4 linked regions of the Macaca mulatta genome follow. The protein of the gene in region 1 binds, or shares a complex with, the protein of each later gene. Links are inferred from orthologs where the notes say so. Each region holds a gene or a part of one and is shown in the gene's direction. Other genes may lie near its edges. The genes, in order: SMU1, SF3B3, IK and ZMAT2.

Region 1 (5,217 bases):
TGTGCAGATTTTTGTGTTAATATGTTTTCTCTTTCTTTGGGTAAATGCTAAGTAGTGTGATTACTGGATTGTATGGTAAAGTATGTTTAGTTGTAAGAAACTATTAAACTGTTCCAAAATGGATGTATCATTTTGTATCGTCACCCTTGGTGAATGAGAGTTCCTGTTACTGCACATCCTCACCAGCACTGGGTGTGGTCAGTGTTCTGGATGTTGGCCATTCTAATAGGTGTGTAGTGGTATCTCATTTTAATTTGCATTTCCCTAATGAAATGTGGAAATCTTTTCGTGTGCTCATTTGTCATCTGTATACTTCTGGCGAAGTGTCTGTTTCAGGTATTTGACTCATTTTTCAATTGGGTTGTTTTCTTGCTGTTGAATTTTAAGAGTTCTTTATATGTTTTGGATAATAGTTCTTTATCAAATCTAGTTTTTACAGATATTTTCTCCCCATCCGTGGCTTGTCTTTTCATTTTCTTCCTTTTTTTTTTTTTTTTTTTTGAGGCAGAGTCTTGCTCCATTGCCCAGGCTGGAATGCAGTGGCATGGTCATAGCTCACTGCATCCTTGAGCTCCTGGGCTCAAGAAATCTTCCTGCCTAAGCCTTCTAAGTGGCTGGGAGTACAGGCATGTGCCACAATGCCCGACTTTGTGTGTGTGTGTGTGTGTGGAAATGGGGTCTTGCCATGTTGCTGATGCTGGTCTCAAACTCCTGGCCTCAAGTGATCCTCCCGCCTTAGCCTCCCAAAGTGCTGGGATTACAGGCATGAGCCACTGCATCTGGCTTCATTTTCTTGACAGTGGCTTTTACAGAGCAGAAGTGTTTAATTTTAATGAAATCTAGCTTATCAGTTATTTCATGGATCGTGTCTTTGGAATTGTATCTAAAAAGTCATCAAACTCAAGATCGTCTAGATTTTCTTTTTTGTTTTCCTCTAAGAGTTTTATATACAATTTTGAGTTTTACATTTAGGTCTGTGATCCATTTTGAGTTAATTTTTGTGAAGACTGTAAGGTCTTTATTTTATTGTGTCTAGATTCATTTTCTTGCATATAAATGTCCAGTCATGGCATGTCTTGTTGAAAACACTATCTTTTCTTTATTACATTGCTTTTGCTTCTTTGTCAAAAATCAGTTGAGTGTATTTCTGGGCTTTGTATTCTGTTCCATTGATCTGTTCTTTTACCAATACCACACTGTCTGGATTACTATAGCTTTGTGTAAATCTTGAAGTTGGTTATTGTGAGCCCTCCAACTTTGTCCTTCTCTTTCAATATTGAGTTCACTGTTCTGGGTCTTTTGCCTCTTTGTGTAAGCTTTAGAATTGGGTTGTCAATATCCACAAAATACTTTGCTGGGATTTTGATTGGGATTGTGTGAAATCTATAGATTAAGTTGGGAAGAACTGATGTCTTTACCATATTGAGTCTTCCAATTCATGAACATAGACTATCTCTCTGTTTAGTTCTTTGATATCATTCATCAGAATTTTGTAATTTTCCTCATTTAAATATTGTATGTATTTTGGTAGATTTATACCTAAGTATTTTCACTTTGGGGCTGCTAATGTAAATGGTATCATGTTTTAAATTCAAGTTAATTCCAATCCCTAACCCTTGGCAATCACTGATCTGTTTTCCATTATTATAATTTTGTCATTTTGAAAATGGTATAGAAATGGAAGCATATAGTATGTAGACTTTTCGGATTGGTTTCTCTCAGCTTGGTTTATGATGATTTTAATGTTGTATCAATAGAGCAAGCAAAGTCTTAGAGACAAAGTATCATCCTGCATGGGGAAAGCTTCTCATTCTGTTAGAGGAAACTGGGGAGCAGACATCCAGAAAGCTTTGAGAACTACTGGTATATTGATTTAGAAAATTGTTTTATGTATGGCAATGAAATTTGCTTAAGGGTAATATGTCTCTTTAGGGCATGATTGGTGATGTGGGATGTATGAATTCTAAATTTTTGTCTGCCATTTAGTTTAGATTACTTATCTATTGAATATTTCCCAGGCATGGGGAGTTAGCACATGCTGAACAGGATTGGAGATCTAATTACAAATGATAGTAAACCAAAGTGCAAAATAACAACGTAAAAATGTCACTTGAAAAGGCTGCACATGGTTGAGCTGCTACTAATCCTGATGTTTTTGTCTTGGGGTGTGGTGTGATCTAGATTGTCAGAAGCTTCAGTTCTGGTAAAAGAGAAGGTGGGGACTTTGTTTGCTGTGCCCTCTCTCCCCGTGGTGAATGGATCTACTGTGTAGGGGAGGACTTTGTGCTCTACTGTTTCAGTACGGTCACTGGCAAACTGGAGAGAACTTTGACAGTGAGTATTACTTACTAAGTTCATCTAAAGAAATATGGTAAGACTTGTGTCTTTCTGAACTCTGAAGTATGTGCCTTTTCCAGACTACTATCAATGTGACCCTCAGTATAAAAAACATTGTTTTAAAACATTTAGCTCCATGTTAAATTCAAGAAGTAAAATTAATGTCAGCTGCTATGATGATCCCCAAATCTCAGTGGCTTAACACTAAACAAGTTTATTTTTTATTTTATTTTATTTTATTTTATTTTGAGAAGGAGTCTCACTCTGTCACCTGGGCTAGAATGCAGTGGTGTGATCTCAGCTCACTACAACCTCTGCCTCCTGGAGTCAAGTGATTCTCCTGCCTCAGCCTCCCGAGTAACTGGGACTACAGGCACATGCCACCACTTCTGGCTAATTTTTTGTATCTTTAGTGGAAACGGGGTTTCACCATCTTGGCCAGGCTGGTCTTGAACTCCTGATCTCAAGTGATCCACCTGCCTCCGCCTCCCAAAGTACGGGGATTACAGACATGAGCCACTGCACCCAGCCTAAAGTTTATTTCTTATTATGTCACAATGTGATGTGAGTTGGAAAACCTTCCTCCATCTTTCTCCTATGCCATTTGGAATATCAGGCCTTGATCTCTTTCCCTTCCACCCAGCTCTGGAAGCGTCATCAGAGTGATTTATTGCAGATCTGTACACCCTAACCCTGTGCTTTACGTGTTCCAGGTGCACGAGAAGGATGTGATTGGTATTGCACATCACCCTCATCAGAACCTGATTGCTACCTACAGTGAAGATGGACTCCTAAAGCTCTGGAAACCATAATTCAACTTTCCTTTTTAAATCAGTGAAAGCACATACTTAAATGAAGGCATAGTCATGTAATGTGCTTTTTTTTTCTTTCTTTTTTTTTTGGCCCACTTTTCTAAGCAAATAGATTGTCTGAATTAGTCACAAGAATAATTTTGTGAAAATTCATGTTTAAGTAGCAAGTATCCCTTCCTTTTTTTAATATATTTTTAAGGTACTAGTTTATCTTCTAACTGGTGCAGTCACTTAATGTTTTCATTAATCTTATACCTGGAAAGTGAAATACCGATTTTCTAGAAAAAAATTCTACTCCTTTGATTATTTGAAATGCTGATTAAAATGTCCCTCCTATAGTAAAACTTGTAAATAAGGAACTATATCATATTCAGTAGCTGTATTCTGTTCCATCTTTTTTTTTTTTTTTTTTTTTTTTTTGAGATGGAGTTTTGCTTGTTGCCCAGGCTGGAGTGCAGCGGCACGATATTGGTTCACTGCAACCTCCGCCTCCCAGGTTCAAGCGATTCTCCTGCCTCAGCCTCCTGAGTAGCTGGGACTATAGGTGTGTGATACCATGCCTGGCTAATTTTTTTGTATTTTTAGTGAGATGGGATTTCACCGTGTTGGCCAGGCTGGTCTCACACTCCTGACCTCAAGTGATCCAACCGCCTTGGCCTCCCAAAGTGCTGAGATCACAGGCATGAGCCACCATGCCCAGCCCATCTTTTTTTTTTTGAAGATGTTAATAAACTTTATACCTTTCTGGAGACTTTGTTCTAAAATGTAAATAAATGCTCATCTAGTTAACATATTTACTTAGAATTTGGGAGGAGGAGTGACATTATTATCCCCGAATCTCAAGTATAGCAGAAGTGAATTCCTGGGATAGTAGGATAGACTAACATGTAAAAAGGCCAGGTGATGCATAGGTTCTCATTTCACTGCCCTCAGCTTTCCTCTCCTTCTGAGCTGTGCCTTCTCACATGTTCAATCAACTCCAGGGAATATTGTCTCCATCTTCTGAATAGAACTAGTTGCAGGATCCGTTACAAGAATTCAGAGTTTTGTCATCTCCCCTTTGTACGTTGTAGGGGATGGTTTGGCATTGGAAATGTGCTGTTGTTTCAAAGAAAAATTAGCAAAAGTACTTGAGATTTAGAAAAGTCTCCTTTGTAATGTGCATCATTACCAGTTAGCTAAAGAAAAACATGTAAAAGTCAACAAAACCCTTGAAAATATTTTGCATATGGATGTCTGTTTCATGTTTCAACTAAAGATGTATAGAGCACCTCTGATGATGAGGAAGATACTGTGCTAGGCACTACTTTCAAGAATGTGAGTTCTTGTTTCCACAGGCCTTTTGTGCCCCCTTTTAAATGTTAGCATTTATTAGGTACAAACTAATGGGGAAGGTTTTTTTAAAGTTTTGCAGTCTTGTAATTTACTTTTTTTAAAAATTTATTTTATTTTTTTGAGATGGAGTCTTGCTCTGTTGCCCAGGTTGGAGTGCAATGGTGCCCTCTCAGCTCACTGCAACCTCCACTTCCCAGGTTCAAGCGATTCTTGATACTTCCCGAGTAGCTGGGAATACAGGCACATGCCACCATGCCTGGCTAATTTTTATATTTTTAGTTTGGGGGGGGGCGGGGAGTTTCACCATGTTGGTCAGGCTGGTCTTGAACTCCTGACCTCAGGTGATCTGCCTGCCTCGGCCTCCCGAAGTGCTGGGATTACAGGCATGAACCACCGCGCCCAGCCTTGTAATTTACCTTTGATTGTGACTTGAAATGCAGTATGATCCTATGTGGGGCACGTAGTAATGTTCAGTGTTTGCTGAATTAATTCTGAGCGACACTAAGAAATCCCTCTTTCCCAGTCATATTCTGTAACACATTTCCCATTTGCCACAAAACCTGCAGCTTTTTGGCCCAGGTAATGTCATTTGCTGCCATTTTGATGATTTTAAAATGGTCGTGGGAGTTGAACATAGTCATGAATTCAGGATTCCTGAGAATGTAGACAGCCATCCCAGTGGAAAGAAACGTTCACTTAAGTAAGAGAAGTTGAAGTTAGAAAGAGGAAACAG
Region 2 (5,628 bases), on another chromosome or scaffold:
GCAGTCTTGGCTCACTGCATCCTCGACCTCCCAGGCTCAAGTGATCCATCTCAGCCTCCCAAGTAGCTGGTACTACAGGCACCTGCTACCATGCCCAGCTAATTTTTGTATTTTTAGTAGAGGTGGGGTTTCACCATATTGGCCAGGTTGGTCTCGAACTCGTGACCTTTTGATCTGCCTGTCTCGGCCTCCCAAGTGTTGGTATTACAGGCCTGAGCCACCGTGCCTGGCCAGCTAATTCTTATAGTCTGTCCCATAGTCCGTTTCCTCATGATTATATTGAGTTTAATGTTTTTGATATAATAAGTGCAGAGGGGGTGATGTATAGGTGATATATGTTCTCCACTATGTCACACATTGTGTGTCCATAATGTTGGTTTATCTGATTGAGACATTAACTTGGTCACTTTGTTAAGGTGGTGCCTGCCCATTGTCTTCATTGTAATGGTGTCTTTTCTTTTTTGGTAACTGATAATGGAATTTGATGGTGATCTTTGAGACTAGTGAATGTCCCTCATCCTGAGACTAGTAAATATCCTTCTTCCTGAGATTAGTGAATATCCCTCTTCCCCAGCGTCTTTTCACCCAGTGGTTTTGGTGTGGATCCTTTGAATCAGTTATTGCCATCTCTCCCCTCACCCCTGGATTATTTATTTGCTGTTAAATACTTATCTGTCCTGGAGTTGAACTTTAGGATTTAATTTAATACGTAGTATGTAAGATTCCATCAATATTAGAAAACCTTAGAAGAAATTTGGCAAGTTAAATTCTTCTTGTTAAGGGATGGGAAGTCACTAAGTTAATTAGACGTTGAGACCTAACTATGCCAGGCACCGTACTTGGCTTTGCAATAATAAAGTCTAAAATTCTTGCCGAACTTACTCGGTGAGAGAAATAGACTGTTGAAAACGTTAAAAAACGCAAGCCAGGCGCAGTGGTGTTCCTCTGATCCCCAGCTACTTGAGAGGCTGAGGCGGGAGGATCCCTTGAGCCCAGGAGTTAGAGACCAGTCTGGGCAACATAGTGAGACATTGTTTTGAAAGAAAAAAAATTCAAAATCATATCTAAGAAGGTGCCTTTTAGGAATCAGGCATTTGATGTAGAACATGGTAGTTTGGATGGAGCAGTGCTTCATTCACAGCCTGAAATGATGACTCTTTAAATTTCATGTCTCTTCTCAGACATTTTTCTCTGGAGATAATTTTTGCCTTATGGATCTGATCAGGCTGTAGTGAAATTGGGACTCTTTTGGTTACCCAGAGTTTATTAGATATTTGTAGCAGGAGAATTTTGAGCTGTGGAGTTCCAGTGTTCTGGCTGGCAGGACACTCTGGATCAAAGCTTGTGCCTTTAGGCCTTTAATGTCATGTGTAATCCCTATTGGTAAAGTGCTGAATTCTAGAACTAAGAAGTACCCATTTCTAAGACGTCGAATGTGTTTGTGTTTTTCACTTTGCTAGAATGACCTGGATGACCCTGAAAGAGGAATGATTTTTGTTTGCTCTGCAACCCATAAGACCAAATCGATGTTCTTCTTTTTGGCTCAAACTGAGCAGGGAGATATCTTTAAGATCACTTTGGAGACAGATGAAGATATGGTAAGTAGATCATGGAAGGACCAGTACAGCTACTCTATGAGATGAGATAGGCAAGACAGGTAATAGTTTACAAGTTAAAATAATGGGAATTAGAAAGTAGTTGCCTTTGGAACCGGTATATGAGTATAGATTTTTCTCTCTGGTTATTAGATTTTTTTGTCTGGTAATCTTACATACAATATAAGAGTGGTAATGCCACTTGTAGTGATTATTTTTAGGTGGTAATAATTGGTGTGAAGAAGATAAAGGTCTCTGTTTCTACTGAAAACTGGTAATAAACGTGATCTGTTACTAGTTTTATCTTATGGACGAGCTCTGTGAATAGTTGGGCAATTTCTTAGGTAGCTGTTTGGATCAGGAATTGGCAAACATGTTTTTGTAAAGGCCACATAGTAAATATTTGCAGCTTTTGTGAGCTACGTAGTCTCCGTCTCAACTACTCAACTCTGCCGTTACGTACGAAGATAGCCACAGCCAGTAATAATTGACATGAGTGGCCCGTGAGCTGGAGTTTGCTGTCCCCTGGTCAGATATGAAATACAGTATTTTATTTGCTACTCAGCCTGTGCTGTCTTATAATATGGGGCTCACTTCACTTGTTTGTACACCAGAATGTTTCTTTTCTCGCCAGGTTACTGAGATCCGGCTCAAGTATTTTGATACTGTACCAGTTGCTGCTGCTATGTGTGTGCTTAAAACAGGATTCCTTTTTGTAGCATCAGAATTTGGAAACCAGTGAGTAATCCTTCTGTTACCCTAGTTCACCCTGGTTGCGATAAAAGTTGGCAGCAGAGGCTGGGTGCAGTGACTCACGCCCGTAATCCTAGTTCTTTGGGAGGCCGAGGCGGGTGAATCACCTGAGGTCAGGAGTTCGAGACCAGCCTGGTCAACATGGTGAAACCCCATTTCCACCTAAAATACAAAAATTAGCTGGGTGTGGTGGCTGGCACCTGTAATCCCAGCTACTCGGGAGGCTGAGGCAGTAGAATCACTTGAATCCGGGAGGTGGAGGTTTCAGTGAGCTGAGATCACGCCACTGTACTCCAGCCTGGGTAACAAGAATGAAACTGTATCTCAAAAAAAAAAAAAAAAAAAGGGTTGATAGTAGGAAGGTGTGACTTTGAGGCTTGGAGCTTTTCACAAGAATGTGTTAGTTCTTTCAAAAGAAAAGTTTGTTTTCTCCCTTTAGAGTCTTTCTTTGTCTTACCTTCCTTTATTTTAGTGGCTTCAGTCAGTACCTCTGTGGGTATCTCCAGAACTATCTTTAGATTTGATGTCTCTTCTGAGTTTTTGGCTGAACATTTCATCAAATAATTTTTTTTTTTGAAATGGAGTTTCGCCCTTGTTGTGGCTGGAGTGCACCGGCGTGATCTTGGCTCACTGCAACCTCCGCCTCCCAGGTTCAAGCGCTTCTCCTGCCTCAGCCTCCTGAGTTGCTGGGATTACAGGCATGCACCACCACGCCCAGGTCATTTTATATTTTTGGTAGAGACAGGGTTTCTCCATGTTGCTCAGGCTGGTCTCAAACTCCCAACCTCAGGTGATCCGCCCGCCTCGACCTCCCAAAGTGGGTGGGTTATAGGTGTGAGCCACCGCGCCCGGCCATTTCATCAAATAAATACTTATTGAAATACTTAAGTACTGCTGGGCTTAGTGGCTCACGACTGTAATCCCAGCACTTTGGGAATCCAAGGTGGGCAGATCACCTGAGGTTGGAGTTCGAGACCAGCTGGACAACATGGTGAAACCCTGTCTCTACTAAAAATACAAAAATTAGCCGGGCATGGTGGCGGGCGCCTATAATGCCAGCTACTTGGGAGGCCGAGGCAGGAGAATCGCTTGAACTTGGGAGTTGGAGGTTGCAGTGAGCCGAGATCGCGTCATTGCACTCCAGCCTGGGCGTTGAGCAAGACTCCGTCTCAAAAAAGAAAAATTAAATAAAAAAATGAAATACTTACTATTAAAGAGATGTTCCATAAGCACTTGACAGGTACCTATCTAGGGTTGAAGCTTACCAGCGCTTAGCTGCCCACCCATATCAGCAGCCCTCCCATCCTCACTATTTCTGTTAGTGTCTAATAGACTAGTTATAGCAACTAAAATGTGAAATCTCAAATTTTTTTTATTGTCCACCGCTTTCAGTCATGTGCTAAGTTCTGTTTTTACCTGTGTACCCCTTTTCGTAATGCTAATCTGAACTAGTTCACTAGTTTTTTTATTTCATTGCCTTTCCTGTAAAACTCAGCCTTTTGTAGCATCATCTAATCCAGCAGACAAGACAACCTTGAATAAATAATTTCCCCTATCCCTGTATCATAATCATAAGTGGCTTTTCATTGCCAAATGGAAGAAATCTGAATTCTAGCCTCAAATTTAAGACCACTGTCTAAGACTACAAGTTACACAAGATAAGGTGACATGGTCTTGCCAGTATCTGCTAAAGTGTAGTCATACCACTTTACTAATCTAGTGCTCAGTTTCTTCATAATTAAAATACTGTCTAGGATTTTGTGCCATTTCTGCCTTGTTTCTAGCTATTCTCTCAATCTTAAATAAAATGCCTTTTACTCCTCAGTGACTTTTTTCTTTCATTTTTAAATCAAGATAGGGTGTCACTATGTCTTCCAGGCTGGTCTTGAACTCCTGGACCCAAGCGATCCTCTCCCCTTGGCCTCCCAAAGTGCTGGGATTGTAAACTTAAACCACCACACCTACCTTTCAGGTTTTTGGGCCTTTTTTTTTTTTTTTTTTGATCGACTCACTCTATCACTCAGGGTGGAGTGCAGTGATCTCAGCTCACTGCAACCTCCACCTCCTGGCTTCAAACGATTCTCCTCTCTCAGCCTCCTGAGTAGCTTGGACTCAGGTGTGTGCCACCATGCCCAGCTAATTTTTTTTTGTATTTTTAGGAGAGAACAGGGTTTTGCCATGTTGGCCAAGCTGGTCTCAAACTCCTGACCTCAAGCAATCCATCCACCTTGGCCTTCCGAAGTGCTGGGACTCCAGGCGTGTGCTACCGTGCCTAGCCGAGCCTTCTTAGCTTTTTGGGTTTTTTTGTTGTTATTGTTTGTTTGAGACAGAGTCTTACTCTGTTTTCTGGGATGCTGGAGTGCAGGGGCACAGTCTCGGCTTGCTGCATCCTCAACCTCCCAGGCTCAAGGTTAACCTTCCATCTCAGCCTCCCAAGTAGCTGGGACTATTAATTAGCAAGGCACATGCCTGGCTAATATTTGTATTTCTTGTAGAGTCTCAAACTTCTGGACTTAAGCAATCCACCTGCCTCAGTCTCCCAGTGTGCTGGGATTACAGACTTGAGCCACAGTGCCTGGCTGATATTTGTCCCTTTGTATCTAGCTCATTTTACTTGGCATAATATTTAGAAGATTCATGTTCAAAAAAAAAAAAAGAAGGAGATTCATGTTTTGGTAGCCTGTGTCAGAACTCATTCCTTTTTATGGCAGAATTACTCATTGTTTGTACATACTGTATTTTGTTTATCCATTCTACTGCTGATGTACACTTGGATTGTGTCCACCTTTCACAATTGGGAGTAATGCTGTGGTAGATGTTGCTGTGCTAATACCTATTTGAGTCCCCATTTTTAATTTTTTTGAGTGTATATGTAGGAGTGGAATTACTGGGTCATGGTAATTCCGTGTTTAACTTTTTGAGAAACCACCAAACTTTCTCAAAGCAGCTACATCCGTTTTACATTCCCAACAGCAGTATATGAGGGCTGCAGTTTCTCCACATCCTTGCTGACTTGTTTTCCACATTTGTGATTATAGCCATCCTGCTAGGTATGCAGTGGTGGTATGAAGTGGTAGCTTTGCCTTTCCCCCGGGATGAGTGATGTTGAGCATCTATTTTTTTTTTTTTGAGACGGAGTCTTGCTCTGTCTTCCAGGCTGGAGTGCAGTGGTGCGATCTCCACTCACTGCAAGCTCTGTCGCCTCCCGGGTTCACGCCATTCTCCTGCCTCAGCCTCCCGAGAAGCTGGGACTACAGGCGCTTGCCACCTTGCCCGGCTG
Region 3 (5,031 bases), on another chromosome or scaffold:
AAGGTTGGGTAAGGAATTGATTCAAACTTGAGGGAGGGATGAGTACGAATCTCTCATGGTAACACTAACCTTACATTTTGTGTTCTTTCCAGCCCATGGATGTTGACAAAGGTGAGTTGTATCCACAGCATCTCACAGTTGCTCTAGCAGTCCTGCTTTCCCCTGGGCTGAGAGTCTGACCTAGGGCTCAGAGCTGGCAATGGTAGGATTTGGGGACTTACTGGTTCTGGGTTCTCCTAAGAACCGTGTCTTGCTTTATGGAATAGGTGGAGTTCCCTCCACCTTCCTGGGCCATGGCAGGGCATATTTGGTCTTAGATATAATTCCTGTGGCCCTGGGGTTCTGAGGAGGTGAGGTAGAGGTCAAGTATGGAATGTTCTGGATACCCTACCCTAATCTCAACCAGAGTAACTCATTATTTATTGGAGTTTGTTTAAGACTTTGTCAGACAAACGGGTTCTATGCCTTAAAAAATGTTTCTTAGGCCGGGCGCGGTGGCTCACGCCTGTAATCCCAGCACGGGGGGGCCGAGACGGGCGGATCACGAGGTCAGGAGATCAAGACCATCTTGGCTAACACGGTGAAACCCCGTCTCTACTAAAAATACAAAAATTAGCCAGGCGTGGTGGCGGGCGCCTGTAGTCCCAGCTACACGGAAGGATGAGGCAGGAGAATGGCGTAAACCCAGGAGGCGAAGCTTGCAGTCAGTGAAGATCGTACCACTGCACTCCAGCCTGGGCGACAGAGCGAGACTCTGTCTCAAAAAAAAAAAAAATGTTTCTTAAGTGTGTTGTGGGGAGGAGGTTGTGAGAGCCTCAGTTCAAGGTCTGGGCAGAGTTCTCTTTTTCTCCTAGGACCTGGGTCTGCCAAGGAGTTGATCAAGTCCATCAATGAAAAGTTTGCTGGGTCTACTGGCTGGGAAGGCACAGAATCATATCCTTTATTTTAATGTGTTCCTGGGTTCTAGAGAACTGATCTGTTTACTCCAACCCCCTCTGCCTGCCGGCTCCCTCCTACCCCGCCCCACTCCTTCCCTTTTATGCTGAATTTTGACAGAATGAAACCATCCCTTGTTCCTTCCTAGAGCACCCGTAACAGCTCACAGCCCTCTCAGAATTTTCATGTTGGGGCTTCTAGCCCTTGGTCCCTCCTCGCTGAAGCTTTGCAGCAATAGGTGGAATCCTGTCTAGTGTTTTCTTTAACATAGCATATGCTGAAGAAACCAGAAGACAAAAAGCAGCTGGGAGATTTCTTTGGCATGTCCAACAGTTATGCAGAGTGCTACCCAGCCACGTATGTGAAACCTGGTTAAGGAAGGAGGCTGGATGATTGGGGAACAAGTTGGGGGTGAAATGGAAATTTGATTTGCTAAGTTCCAGGGCTACTTTTTTTTTTTTTCTTTTTTTTTGAGACAGAGTCTCACTCTGTTGCCCAGGCTGGAATGCAATGGCGTAATCTCGGCTCACTGCAACCACCACCTCCCGGGTTCAAGCAGTTCTCCTGCTGCATCCTCCCAAGTAGCTGGGATTATAGGCATGCATCACCACACCTGGCTAGTTTTTGTATTTTTAGTAGAGATGCAGTTTCACCATGTTGGCCAGGCTGGTCTTGAACTCCTGACCTCAAGTAATCTGCCTGCCTCAGCCTCTGAAAGTGTGGGGATTACAGGAGTGAGCCACTGCACCTGGCCCAAGGCTACTTCTTACTTGGATGAACTATTTTATTAGGCTTTGAGTGGGAGGTCAAGGGGGTGGTCATTCCTATGCAGATAGCCTCTTAGTCGGGTAGGTTTCCAGATGAAGCATAGGGTCAGGGTGTTTAACTGTTTAACTCCTGCTTCTCCTTAGGATGGATGACATGGCTGTGGACAGTGATGAGGAGGTGGATTATAGCAAAATGGACCAGGTATGTAGTTAGAAGGATGGTGGGCGCCTTTGGGTAGTTGTTGTTATTATTATTATTATTTTTTTTTTTTTTTTTTTTTTTTTTTGAGACGGAGTCTCGCTCTGTAGCCCAGGCTGGATTGCAGTGGCCGGATCTCAGCTCACTGCAAGCTCCGCCTCCTGGGTTCACGCCATTCTCCGGCCTCAGCCTCCCGAGTAGCTGGGACTACAGGCGCTGCCACCTCGCCCGGCTATTTTTTGTATTTCTTAGTAGAGACGGGGTTTCACCGTGTTAGCCAGGATGGTCTCGATCTCCTGACCTCGTGATCTGCCCATCTCGGCCTCCCAAAGTGCTGGGATTACAGGCTTGAGCCACCGCGCCCGGCCTGGGTAGTTATTATTATTATATTTTTTTACATATATCTCCTTCCCCACTCCTAAAAAATCTGTCTCATTTACTGGGCTCCACCCTCCTCCAGTTGCAGCAGTAGAAACAGCAGCATTGAGGGTCATGAGCAGCTTAACTATTTCAGAGTCTTTGCACAAGATCAAATGACATAGGGTCAAAAATCTATTTTTTATTTCCTATAGCAAAGTGCCACGCTTTGATTCCCATGGTAGGCAGTAAGCAAGCATCAATGCATAAGTAGAAAGGGCAGAAAAAAATTGCAGTCTTTGGAAAATAACTAAATTTTATTCTAGCCGGGATTGAAGTTTTCCTCTAAGTCTTAAGCAAAATTAAAAAGAAAAAACCACTAATGCCACTAATAGTGAAGAAATCTCTATTCGTCCCCTGAGTTCTTTGTATTGAAATAGCATAGTTTAATCTTGGAGCCTTGTTTAATCCTGCCTCTACCATTTATTAGTTTTGTGAACTTGCCAAGTTCTTTTACTGTTTATGCCTCAATTTCCTCATCAGGAAATGGAGAGAAGTGTAGTTCCCTCTTCATAGATTTTTTAATGAGAATTAAATGAGATAATGCATTTAGTGTACAGAATAATGCCTGTCACATAGTATGTAATAGGCATTTATTATTACATATCAGGGTATGATTTATGAATTGTGGAACCTGGGATTATGGGAGAGTCTGGCTTCAATCAAGGGCTGAAATTCCATTTTCCCTGACATCTCTTCCTTCCCCGTCCCCCCATTCTGTCCTGCAACAGGGTAACAAGAAGGGGCCCTTAGGCCGTTGGGACTTTGATACCCAGGAAGAATACAGCGAGTATATGAACAACAAAGAGGCTTTGCCCAAGTGAGTCGGTACTGAATATGGGCAAGGTGTGAGGAGGGTTGTGGGGATTTGGTGGAATAGTGCACATAAGGTTAGAGGGTATGGTCTGGCTGAGATATTCCCAATTAAGTTCTTTGCCCACAGGACCCTGGGAAAACCTCACCACTGCTATGCAGTCTCTGAAGCATTCTTTGCCAACTGTGCTTTTTTTCAGGGCTGCATTCCAGTATGGTATCAAAATGTCTGAAGGGCGGAAAACCAGGCGCTTCAAGGAAACCAATGACAAAGCAGAGCTTGATCGCCAGTGGAAGAAGATTAGTGCAGTAAGTAGGATGGTCCCTTGGGTGGGAGGGTTTCAGCTGGGAGAAGACATTAGCCTACAGATTCAGGAACAGGCAAGGGGCTGGAGAGCCATGGAAATGAGAGGTCAGCCTTGGGCCTCAGGTGAGCTTAGATGGGCAGCTTGGTGATAGACTATCCTGTTCCTTTTGCAGATCATTGAGAAGAGGAAGAAGATGGAAGCTGATGGGTGAGTGGCATTATTCTTCCTCTGGGGGACTGGTGGGAATTGCTTAGTGTATTGATCTTATGCTGACCCATTTCTCCTTCCATTGCAGGGTTGAAGTCAAAAGACCAAAATACTAATCACCAGTTACAACCGGAGACCCTCCACAAGGATATGCTTCCCACTGTTTTCTTTATACAATTTCCAAAGGTTGCAAGATGTTTTTTGGTGGATGAATATAAAATTTTATTGTGTAATTACTTGGTTCCATTAAAATTGGTTAACTTGCTAGCTTCTCTGTTGAGCATGCCCCCTCCAGTGCCCTTGAAGCACCAAGAACACTAATTCCACTGGTTACATAGAATCACATGCAGAAAGCCATCAGTCCTTTCCTGAGCTGTGGTTCTAGATTGCTAGACATGAAGGATGCTTTCTAGCCAGTGTGCCCAGTAGAGAAGGGAATAATGATCCTCACTGATGGGCAAGAGGTGGATAGAGGAATGTAAGGATGATTGGTTTCAAATGTAAGACTCATTCAGGCCCATCTTCAGGCCTAGTCCCTGGACAAAGATTTCCTGGATCCTGCAGTCAGCCTAATGGGCTGCTAATCTGATCCCCAGGCTGTGAAGGACTGGGCTCTGGATGAAGGCATCTAATGAAAATCACTTACGGGTGAGAACCAAAACCTTTTATGAGTTTATGTCTTCCTATGAGCTTTATTAATGTTGAGTACAAATCACTGCCTCCTTGGCTAAAGGTGTAACCTTAGGGAAGTGCTTCGGGTTTAGAGCTGATATAGTGTGGCCCTGCAGGTACAGGAATTCCTATCCTAGGCCAGAAGGGTTTGGTGCCCTTCATCACCCTGAAACATTTGCCAAGCCCCAGAATAGTCTGTTGGCCTTTGAATCACACCATTCCTTTCCCTGTTCTTCCTTTCTGCTCCTTACCAGCACTTTGGTCTGGTGCGCATCATTAGGTGTCACTACTGCTTCCTGGCTGGATGCCAGGCTGCCACTGTCTACCCTGAGCCCAAGATTTGTGGCCTCACCACATCCAAGAAAGCTAGAAAGTCACCTTAGCCATTGCCTTGTCTTTGACTGTATTCACCTTGGTAGGACAGGTATTTTTGAGGAAGCCAGCATTGTGCATTGCACATAAGAGGCTGAAATTGGGCCTTGCTGCACTAGCACCTAGAATGGCTAATTTCAGACAAATGACACCATGGTTCCATGGATGTAGGCAGCAGTCCCAATTATTAAAAATGGTCACAGAGACATGGCACAGAAGACGACATCTGGAGAGTCACTAAAAGCAAGACCTGGGGGTTGACTGTTGGTTTAAAATTCAGTTTCTGAGGCCAGGCTCGATGACTCATGTCCACAGTCTCAGTGCTTTGGGAGGCCAAAGC
Region 4 (4,394 bases), on another chromosome or scaffold:
TACACCTAACCTACCATAGTTTAGTCTAGCCTACCTTAATGTGCTCAGAACACATTAGCCTACAATTGACCCAGATTATCTAACACAAAACCTATTCTATAATAAAGTATTCATCTCATTAATTTATTGAATACTGTACTGAATGTGAAAAACAATGGTTATATGGATACTTGAAGTACAGTTTCAAATGCATGTCAGTTTTGCACCATTGTAAAACTGAAAAATCTTGTCAGAGCATCGTAAGTTGAGGACTCTCATCTGTATTCTTTGATTTAATTTTTTAAAAAGACTTAACTTTTTTTTTGGCCGGGTGCGGTGGCTCAAGCCTGTAATCCCAGCACTTTGGGAGGCCGAGACGGGTGGATCACGAGGTCAGGAGATCGAGACCATCCTGGCTAACACGGTGAAACCCCGTCTCTACTAAGAAATACAAAAAAAAAAAACTAGCCGGGCGAGGTGGCGGACGCCTGTGGTCCCAGCTACTTGGGAGGCTGAGGCCGGAGAATGGCGTGAACCCGGGAGGTGGAGCTTGCAGTGAGCTGAGATCTGGCCACTGCACTCTAGCCTGGGCTACAGAGCGAGACTCCGTCTCAAAAAAAAAAAAAAAAAAAAAAAAAAAGACTTAACTTTTTTTAGAGCAGTTTGGGTTTGCAACAAAATCGAGAGGGAGGTATAAAGATTTCCCATATACCCATTGTCCCCCACAACATGCATAGCTTCCTCCATACTTTTTTTTTTTAACTACAAGAGGAATTAACTAAATGTACCTAGTCCTAAGGAGGCCCATGAAATCAGGCTGACTGGGTCAGAATTCTGTTTCTTCCACTTACTGGCTGTGAATCTTGGGCAAGTTATATAACCTCTTTGTGCCTCAGTATCCCCATATTAGAGATCTTAGTATAATATGCATGAAGTACTCAGAGCAATTTCTGGCATGTACTGCATGCCCCAGAATGTCAGTTGCTATTATATGGTTTTGCTGTCATAACCCTGTCAGGAACTAGAAATGACATGGGGCCAGACGCAGTGGCTCACGCGTGTAATCCCAACACTTTGGGAGGCCAAGGTGGATGGATCACTTGAGACCAGGAGTTCAAGACCAGCCCCAGCAACATGGTGGGACCCTGTCTCTACAAATACAAAAATTAGCTGGGTGCAGTGGCACACGCCTATAGTCCCAGCTACTTGGGAGGCTGAGGTGGGAGGATTGCTTGAACCCAGGAGGTGGAGGTTGCGATGAGCCGAGATTGTGCCACTGCACTCCAGCCTAGGCGACAGAACAAGACTCTCTCAAAAAAAAAAAAAAAAAATGAACTAGAGTGCAGGCTTGAGAACTTCTCTCTAGAGGCTAAAACTTCTTTTTGTTATCCTTTATAATTTTTACTCTGGCTTTTACTCTGTCCTTGAGATTTTACTTGTCTTAAGTACTTTCTCCTAAAGATAGAAAGGAGTCTTGAAACTCATGTCTTTTTCAGTAACATTTGGCTGAGGAGTCTAAACTGATTCTGAGTGATTTTTCCCTCCAGGAAGAAAAGGCCAAAGCATACAAGAAAGAGAAACAGAAGGAGAAGAAAAGGAGGGCTGAGGAGGACTTGACATTTGAGGAGGACGATGAGATGGCAGCTGTGATGGGCTTCTCTGGCTTTGGTTCCACCAAGAAGAGTTACTGAGGCTTTCTATGCTTGGCCTAACTTGGGCCTATGCTGGACCTAACTTTGTGTGTGTGTGTGTGTAGTCGGGGGTCATTTCTTTTTGGGTGATGGGAAAGTTCTTAAGAGTGTCAATGGGGAGGGATAGAGGGTGGGGCTCATGGTTTCCCTCTACTTTGGGAGAGGGCACAGATTGCAGAGGTAATGCTGTGGCATATTGCTTCAGCCTCAGTATATCGCTGGAGTCATAGGACCCCTGCCCACCTGAGTTTCCAATAAAGAAAAACCTCCCCTTCTGAGGCTGCTTTCCCAAAACTCCCCCTGCATCTTTATCTCTCCATCTATCCAGCCTCTTGTCTGAGCATCCCAACTTTATCCTGTGTTATGCCTTTGTTTTAATTTTATCTCATGTTCAGCCTGCAACAGAAGCATTCTCTAGGTCCCAGTTTCCAGTTGATTGCATATCCTTGACCAGCCCTTTTTCCCATCCCGCCCTATGGTTCTCTAGCTACCTGTGCATGCATGTGTATTTCTGCCTGGTTCTATGGTGTGTGGATGTGTGTGCATGAATCTGTCACATAGAGGGGGCCTGAGCTGGAATCCTAGAGCATTGCTGCCCTGGGGCCTGATGTTCTTGGCTTCCTCAGAGCATGTAACAGGAAATTAAATGGGATGAGTGTTTGGTGTGGTTTGTGTCTGATGAGTTTTTTAACATTCAGGTGTAGATTGTTTCAGGTTCTCTTGTTTCATTTTCCTGAGGATTTCTGTTTTTGTCTTCCTTGTGAGCAGGCTTTTGGAAGAACCTGTTTGATGCAAAGAAGAAAATGAAAAACAAAACAAAACAAAAAATCCCCAAAACCTTATTATGGGAGCCCTTGGGTCTTAGAAGCTGTTCAACATGTATAATAAATGGCATTGACTGGGCCTGTTTTACATTTGGTGGGAACATTCCATAATTTTGCCTGTGAATATTTGTTTTTCCTTCTCATGCTGAGGATTTCCATAGAGTGTTTTATTCTTCCATTTTAAATCTTATTTTTGCCTAGGATTTTTTTTTTTTTTTTTTTAGCATGAGTTATGTTTTCCTCTGGTAAGGGATCTGTGTCCAGAGGAGCCTGAACCAAAACTATTCCTATCATTTCAGACTCCTTTGATCTTTTGTTTTTGGAACAGTAGAGCTCAGGATTGAACTTAGTGTTTTTCTTTTTCTTTTTCTTTTTTTTTTTTTTTTTTTGAGAGAGTCTTGCTCTATCGCCCAGTCTGGAGTGCAGTGGCGCGGTCTTGGCTCACTGCAACCTCCGCCTCTTGGCTTCAAGCGGCTAATTTTGTATTTTTAGTTGAGATGGGGTTTCACCATGTTGGCTAGGCTGGTCTAGAACTCCTTGCTCAGGTGATCCACCTGCCTCAGCCTCCCAAAGTGCTGGGATTATAGGCGTGAGCCATTGCACCCTGCCCTTAGTGTGTTTCTTACTGTCTGCTAGACACAGGATTACTTAATCTTGGCACTGTTGATATTTTGGGCCAGATTATCATTTGTTGTAGAAACCAATGCTGTGCAGTGTAGGGTGTTTATGATTTTGATTTTGATTTAGGATTAACTTCATCCCTGGCCTTTACCTGCTAGATGCCAGTAGCACCCTCTTCCACAATTGTGACAACTAAAAATGTCTATGCCCCTGAGAAAGGCAAAATCCCTCCCTACCCACATTGAAATCCACTGAGAAGCAGCTAGCTGTTTTCCCTACCTTGGTCTAATTTGAGAATTAGATGGCACAGACTGGTAAACTCAGTACAGAAACTCACAAAACTTTGATATCCACTGGATCAAGTACTGTACCAAGTCCAGGGGATGCAGAGGAAAAAAAATAGTCATACATACACGGAGAATTATTAACTTTAACACATTAACTTCAAGCAGATGAAACCTGTAACTCTTGCTGGTTCTATACCCTGAAAAAATGGATCCGTTGGGTTAACAAGGCTGCCACCATATAGCTGGTATTCATTCTCTGCCCCATCAAGCTCTTCACCTTTCTGTAGTATCTGAACCACAAAGCATCATACACCTCCCTTTGGACTTTTGTACAAAATTCCCTTACTGTAAACATGTGATGCTGAATCTTACCACTGGGAACACCATGAATGTATCTTCACCTGTGGGCTCAAGGCCTGGCTCAAAGTTTTAGATACAGTAAGTATTGGGCAATGGGGGCAGATTGGTGGGTGCTTTTCTTGGCAGGATTATGTGCACTTCAGGTCCCTTGGGTGACAGTCTTGTTGTTGACGAGGTCTTTTGTTACCCCTTTCAAGGCAGGCTGGAGGTTTCAGTGAGTTCCTTCCATGGTTCAGTTTTTTTTTTTTTTTTTTTTTGAGTGTCACTGTCACTCAGGCTAGAGTGCAGTGGCATGATCTCAGCTCGCTGTAACCTCCACCTCCTGGGTTCAAGTGATTCTCCTGACTCAGCATCCTGAATAGCTGGGATTACAGGTGCCCGCCAGTATCCTCGGCTAATTTTTTTGTATTTTTAGTAGAGACGGGTTTTCACCATGTTAGCCAGGATGGTCTTGATTTCCTGACCTCGTGATCTGCCCGCCTCGGCCTCCCAAAGTGCTGGGATTACAGGTATGAGCTACCGTGCCCGGCCTCTTTCAGGTCTTTCTAAAACCAATGGAAATGTTTGCATTCTGGTTGAGGAAAATCCGCTTGACCAGTGCTTAGGTGAACATGCTGTAGGTACTGGTATTA

The links.
Region 2: SMU1 (region 1) and SF3B3 share a complex: the UniProt entries of both Homo sapiens proteins name them as parts of the spliceosome B complex. The link is inferred for Macaca mulatta from reciprocal best matches to the Homo sapiens genes SMU1 and SF3B3.
Region 3: SMU1 (region 1) and IK share a complex: the UniProt entries of both Homo sapiens proteins name them as parts of the spliceosome B complex. The link is inferred for Macaca mulatta from reciprocal best matches to the Homo sapiens genes SMU1 and IK.
Region 4: SMU1 (region 1) and ZMAT2 share a complex: the UniProt entries of both Homo sapiens proteins name them as parts of the spliceosome B complex. The link is inferred for Macaca mulatta from reciprocal best matches to the Homo sapiens genes SMU1 and ZMAT2.

What each region holds. Positions count from the first base shown.
Region 1 is NC_133420.1:66,323,690-66,328,906, forward strand, and holds the end of SMU1 (WD40 repeat-containing protein SMU1), read left to right. Parts: intron 1-758; exon of another isoform or gene 759-1,552; intron 1,553-2,181; coding exon 2,182-2,334; intron 2,335-3,050; coding exon 3,051-3,149; 3' UTR 3,150-3,536; downstream 3,537-5,217. UniProt on the Homo sapiens protein: Involved in pre-mRNA splicing as a component of the spliceosome. Regulates alternative splicing of the HSPG2 pre-mRNA. Required for normal accumulation of IK.
Region 2 is NC_133425.1:69,310,561-69,316,188, reverse strand, and holds part of SF3B3 (splicing factor 3B subunit 3), read left to right. Parts: intron 1-1,138; exon of another isoform or gene 1,139-1,229; intron 1,230-1,460; coding exon 1,461-1,598; intron 1,599-2,229; coding exon 2,230-2,333; intron 2,334-5,628. UniProt on the Homo sapiens protein: Component of the 17S U2 SnRNP complex of the spliceosome, a large ribonucleoprotein complex that removes introns from transcribed pre-mRNAs.
Region 3 is NC_133411.1:149,501,868-149,506,898, forward strand, and holds the end of IK (protein Red), read left to right. Parts: intron 1-92; coding exon 93-111; intron 112-835; exon of another isoform or gene 836-854; coding exon 855-933; intron 934-1,207; exon of another isoform or gene 1,208-1,212; coding exon 1,213-1,293; intron 1,294-1,847; coding exon 1,848-1,905; intron 1,906-3,050; coding exon 3,051-3,139; intron 3,140-3,332; coding exon 3,333-3,441; intron 3,442-3,612; coding exon 3,613-3,647; intron 3,648-3,735; coding exon 3,736-3,763; 3' UTR 3,764-3,914; downstream 3,915-5,031. UniProt on the Homo sapiens protein: Involved in pre-mRNA splicing as a component of the spliceosome. Auxiliary spliceosomal protein that regulates selection of alternative splice sites in a small set of target pre-mRNA species. Required for normal mitotic cell cycle progression.
Region 4 is NC_133411.1:149,548,559-149,552,952, forward strand, and holds the end of ZMAT2 (zinc finger matrin-type protein 2), read left to right. Parts: intron 1-1,526; coding exon 1,527-1,670; 3' UTR 1,671-2,573; downstream 2,574-4,394. UniProt on the Homo sapiens protein: Involved in pre-mRNA splicing as a component of the spliceosome.